Linked DNA regions of Daphnia pulex. Each later gene encodes a partner of the first gene's protein in a complex. Links are inferred from orthologs where the notes say so. Each region holds a gene or a part of one and is shown in the gene's direction. Other genes may lie near its edges.

Evidence for each region. Proteins that work in one complex are often made in the same cells at the same time.
Region 2: probable tRNA N6-adenosine threonylcarbamoyltransferase (region 1) and EKC/KEOPS complex subunit Tprkb-like share a complex: the UniProt entries of both Homo sapiens proteins name them as parts of the EKC/KEOPS complex. The link is inferred for Daphnia pulex from reciprocal best matches to the Homo sapiens genes OSGEP and TPRKB.

The regions. Positions count from the first base shown.
Region 1 is NC_060019.1:5,074,016-5,077,098, forward strand, and holds probable tRNA N6-adenosine threonylcarbamoyltransferase, read left to right. Parts: upstream 1-802; 5' UTR 803-986; coding exon 987-1,101; intron 1,102-1,177; coding exon 1,178-1,257; intron 1,258-1,330; coding exon 1,331-1,472; intron 1,473-1,539; coding exon 1,540-1,913; intron 1,914-1,997; coding exon 1,998-2,070; intron 2,071-2,122; coding exon 2,123-2,178; intron 2,179-2,246; coding exon 2,247-2,411; 3' UTR 2,412-2,453; downstream 2,454-3,083. UniProt on the Homo sapiens protein: Component of the EKC/KEOPS complex that is required for the formation of a threonylcarbamoyl group on adenosine at position 37 (t(6)A37) in tRNAs that read codons beginning with adenine.
Region 2 is NC_060026.1:5,617,073-5,619,538, forward strand, and holds EKC/KEOPS complex subunit Tprkb-like, read left to right. Parts: upstream 1-939; 5' UTR 940-1,076; coding exon 1,077-1,199; intron 1,200-1,258; coding exon 1,259-1,381; intron 1,382-1,456; coding exon 1,457-1,714; 3' UTR 1,715-1,769; coding exon of another isoform or gene 1,770-1,924; 3' UTR 1,925-1,961; downstream 1,962-2,466. Other genes in the region: GPI transamidase component PIG-S-like, read right to left, coding at 56-277, 350-592, 659-695; peptidyl-prolyl cis-trans isomerase-like 1, read right to left, coding at 1,770-1,924, 1,997-2,065, 2,169-2,258, 2,316-2,449. UniProt on the Homo sapiens protein: Component of the EKC/KEOPS complex that is required for the formation of a threonylcarbamoyl group on adenosine at position 37 (t(6)A37) in tRNAs that read codons beginning with adenine.

The DNA.
Region 1 (3,083 bases):
AACAAATAGTTTTCCTTTTCCCCACAGAGGTCCAAATTGACGGAGATTGCCGCCATTTTTCATTGTCTCCCGCTATGATGAGGCATTAAAGGAGGAAGGGGGGCAATCAAATTCGATTTCTTCGCCACTACCCCTGTATGTTTTAATGCGCATTTTACGATTATTAAACTAATGAAAGACATAGAGCAGCACGATATGGTGATATTTTTAAATAATAAAATATTAGGTAATGGCCCAGGGATTATACATTACATTAAATAATTTTAATCAACCAGTAGATACGTGCACAAAGAAATAATCGGTCATAACAGTATGAGTGCCTTATATCAAGCTAAAAATCAAAGCTACCATGTTCCAAATCAAGCTAAAATTTAATCAACTAAAACTTCCCTTAAAATTAAGAATGTTAATCTGATTGATACTGATACATGGAAACGAGAAGTTCCATAAATTTTTTTATACCAATCTTCTAATTAAAAACACCTATTGCATATTGCATTCAAGGTATTCCGTATTCATAGTCAACACACAAATAGACCAGCCATAAGGTGCGCGAAACTCGAAGTCTCGAAAATTTGAAACTCTTAACAATTTTTTTGTTGACGGCGTCCATTGTCGTCTGCTACCAAGACGTTTGCACTGCGACGTTTCGCAAACACCGATTTCGCAGTTTAGTACGGACCCAAAGACTAAAATGCGAAACAGGGTCCCAACTTTTGGGTCCGTTTCGCACAGCTGTTTCGCATTTTAGGCGTTTCGCGTTTCGCGTTTCGCTTTCGCAGTTTAGGGACGCCCTTGGAGCGCTGTCGTCTGCTGACTGCTCTGACTCTGTCTGTACTCTCTGACTCTCTACACATGGACTACTCTAACTAATAACTATACATCAGCTTCTGTTCTGATGATCTGACACGCTCTTGCGACGATTGTAGTCATTTTTTTAAAGTTGCACTAGTCTGAGGTTCCATATTATAAATATTCATTGAAATATGGTTGTTTCGATAGGTTTTGAAGGTAGTGCAAATAAATTGGGTATTGGAATAATTCAAGATGGAATTGTTTTAGCAAATCCCAGGAGAACATTTATTACACCACCTGGAGAAGGTTTCATTACATCAAAAGTTCTAAACACGAAAAATAATGCGTATTGTTTTTTTTTAACTTATGACATTTATTATAGGTTTTAAACCTGTTGATACTGCAATTCATCATCAGTCAAATATTGTCCTCTTACTGAAAGAAGCTTTGGATGAAGCTAAGGTTTGATACATTTTAATTAGACTGTGAGAAACTCGTATTTCACTTCCAAAAAAATAAATCATTTATAATTCAGATTCATCCAGAAGAAATTGATGTGGTGTGTTACACCAAAGGACCTGGCTTAGGAGCTCCTTTGGTGTCTGTAGCTGTGTTTGCAAGAACAATTTCACAATTATGGAGAAAGCCAATTATTGGTGTCAATCATTGCATCGGGCGTACTTAATTCTTAAATTTTATATTGCTAATTTTAGTTGGACTCAAATATCATTCCATTTATTGCAGACATAGAAATGGCAAGATTAATCACAAGCGCAAAAAATCCTATTGTTCTCTATGTTAGTGGAGGGAATACTCAAATTATTGCATACTCCCAGAAACGTTATAGAATATTTGGGGAAACAATAGACATTGCAGTTGGGAATTGCTTGGATAGATTTGCCAGAATTCTTAAATTGTCAAATTATCCAAGCCCTGGGCACAATATTGAGCAGTTGGCAAAAAATGGGAAAATTTATGTCCCATTGCCATACATTGTCAAAGGGATGGACATGTCTTTTTCTGGAGTCTTGACACACATTGAAGATTTTGCTGCAACTTTACAAGAATATTCTGTGGAAGATCTATGTTTTTCACTGCAAGAAACTGTTTTTGCTATGGTACACATGCCAAAATCATTGCAACTAAAATTACATTTAATTTCCAATTGAATACTTCCGTTTCTTTTTTATGTACATTTATAGCTTGTTGAAACAACCGAGAGAGCAATGGCGCATTGTGGATCGCAAGAAGTGTTGATTTGCGGTGGCGTTGGATGTAGGTTTCATTTTCTTTATATTATTCTTGTCATCTAAGGATTTGTTTTTAGGTAATCTTCGACTTCAAGAAATGATGTCTGAAATGTGCAAGGAACGAGGAGCTAAGGTTTGTTGAATCATTGTGTAATTTTATCACAACAAATTTTGTTCATGGCTTTTCTGTTTTCTTTTAAGGTTTTTGCAACGGATGAAAGATTTTGTATAGACAACGGGGCCATGATAGCTCATGCCGGAGCAGAAATGTTTAGAGTTGGTGCCGTCACCTCTTGGAAGAACACATTTTGCACGCAACGATATAGAACAGATGAAGTGGAGGTAAATTGGAGAGATGAACAATAATAACTTTTAAAATGGCTAAATAAACTAGCTGCGTTAATCAAAGACAAAGTTATGCCCATTTTGCACGCAACGATATAGAATAGATGAAGTGGAGGTAAACTGGAGATGAATAATAAAACAATAATAACTTTAAAAATGCCTAAACAAACTAGCTGCGTTAATCAAAGTTTATGGTATGCTCGGCATGTCGACATGACACCACCCTACTATATCCCCCACCTCTACCAGAACATTGGCCATCAGGGTGTCCGACATTCAGGCCTTAACGTTCAGGACTGAATGCCGACCAAATTTGTGCCCAAATGTTTTCTTTCCAAGTCATTCAGGCCCACTTTGTTATATTAGCTACATCTAAAATATTTGTTGAAATTACGGGTATGGTATTCAATCAGGTAAGAGGACAGAAAAGAAAAGTCAACAAAAACATACGCCGTTGACTCTCCACGAGTATTCGACGCTGAATGAAAAGGCGATCAACTGATCAAGGTTATGTTTACACGACGGCAGTTAGGCCTACAACCACATCCTTTTCGCTGATTTCATGTTGGAGGAAATTGTGGCGTCATTTTGAGGTTTGGCGTTCAACATCCAAAATCAAGGGGATCGCAACTCAAATTTGCTTTTTATTTTGTTAGTATACTTTTTTCCTTGCTTTTTATTCCTCTTTTACTT
Region 2 (2,466 bases), on another chromosome or scaffold:
TTTATCAATTTAAAAATTTTGATTTATAAGTGAATGAAATCTTTTAATTCCACACCTGTTTCTTCCGAGAAGTACAGAAAGTTATGCCTTCCTACACACACTTTCCCAGATGGCAAATAATTAGATGGTACTTCAACAATTGATAATATGTTAATAAACTCTGATTCAGATAGTTCCTCAAAGTACATGTCTATGGCATCAACTGACTTTTGTGACAACAAAATTTTTACTTCTTCAGGGCTGAATTTATATGGAACAATACTGAAGTTATAAGTTACTAAAAAAATTTTGAAAATTGTTAACATAATCTTCAAATCTAAACATTTATTATATTGTTTTAGTTACTTACATGGGTCCTTGGACTGAACTAGTGCACTTTGCAGTTTCTTTGCCATTATTTCAGCATCATTGATGCCTTTTAATAAAATAGGGATACTTTGTTCACTCCCAGACACTTTAGCCATAGTGGACAGTTCTTCCAGTGGTAAAGATGCTCTTTGTACAGTAGTGGTATTCCACCATACTGGTACTCCAAGACCCAAAAGTATCACAATGAAGGTTAATGCAGCTCCAATTGGATGAGAATGCCTATCTAAACAGTTATTTTCATTAGTTTGAATCATAAGTAAATCAAGAGTAAATTAATTTTGACATTTACCTTGCCTATCTAGAGAGCTGTTATTGGAGCCCTTCATTTTTAAAAAAGGTGGAAATATTTATACCTAAACCAAAAAAGAAAATTGTATCAAGAATTTTTCAAATCACTTTTCAATAAATAAATAAGAAAGGACCACCATCAAACGTACAGGTTCTTAAATTTGTTGTTTAGTGTTTACTGTAGTCGATGTAGTGTCTACTGAAATGAAGATTTGAAGTCGCATTTTAGTCTGCAAATAATTGCCATGACAACGTCTTGCAGTGTTACAGCCAGGTTACATACAGCCGGTTGAAGCAGACAGACTATAAACTGTGGGAACCAGCAGCAGTCAGAACACGTTTTGAAATAAAAAAATTTACCGATTCGTGACTCCCATATTTAGTCGTTATTTAGTCATATTTGAGCAAACAATAATAAAATGTGGGCATTTAAAGAATGCGAGCCCAAGTTGTTACTTTTTAAAAATGTAACCAATGCAAGTGAAATTCGAGAAAGGATTATGAAAGCTAGCTTTCCTTGCGCTGCAATTAATCCTAGATATGTATGCATTTCAATTTTCAATTTTATGTTTGACGAAGAATATAAATTTATGACTGCTAGGTATTGGACACCTTTCAAGTATTAGTGGCCACCCAACTTGCTGTGATGAGCCATCAAAGTCATACCCTTAAAACACATTCTGTGTTTTCTGAAATTGTTTATAACATGTCCCCAACAAAAAAGGTATTTTTTTAATGTGCAGTTGTACAGCATGCAAACTTTATTAAATATGGAAATTATTTTTAATGCTTGGAACAGATTACAGATTCCTTAAAAATATTTGGAATGAATGATAAAGATACATATTTTCTTTGTGTGGTACTTAATGAAGAAGATATGGAACTTGTCTGTTCTAAAGTCAAAGGAGAATTGGCAGAACCCACCCAAGACAATTTTGAAACATGTGATGAAAATGAGCTGAGGAAAATTTATAAAATCAAAGAAGAAGAAACAAAAATTGTTTCTTTATTGGATGCTATAATTAACCGAATTTCGACAAAAGAAATTGCTACATAGTACTAATATTTTTTGTGTAAAACTAGATTTAGAAGCAGGATCAATTATGTATTATTCATTCATATTTGATTGTACATTTTACGATTTTCACATCATCAGTTGGTCTGTCATCTTTATCTGTTTCTACAAACCCAATCCTTTTCACAACAGACATGCCTGAATAAATTCTCCCAAAAATGGAATGCTTGCCATCTAGCCATTGGGTTGGAGCTAAAATAAATATAAAATAAATTTGCATTTGATGTAGGAATTCAAAGTTTATTAATTTTTTTTTTTAAATACCTAGTGTTATGAAAAATTGAGATCCATTGGTATTTGGTCCTGAATTCGCCATGGACAGTATACCAGGGCCTATTGTTAAACACACACAAAGTTAAAAGTCATTTCCTTTGAATGTGTGTCATTCAGGCCCCTGAATGTTGTTTCCATTACTTATTTTATTTGTAATTATTACCTGTGTGTTTCAGTTCATCATGTAATTCATCAGAAAAATTACGTCCATATATAGATGCTCCTCCTCTTCCAGTACCAGTGGGATCACCACCTATAAATTTTTTAACTTAATTCATAATCAATGAAAAAAAAGTTTTCAATTAATTACCTTGGATCATAAAATCTCGGATTATCCGATGAAATTTAGTGCCTGCATAGTAATTTCGACGACAGAGTTCAGCAAAGTTTCTACAAGTGTTGGGGGCATGGTTCCAGTACAATTCTATAGCAATTTCTCCCATCCTACAAGGTCAGATATT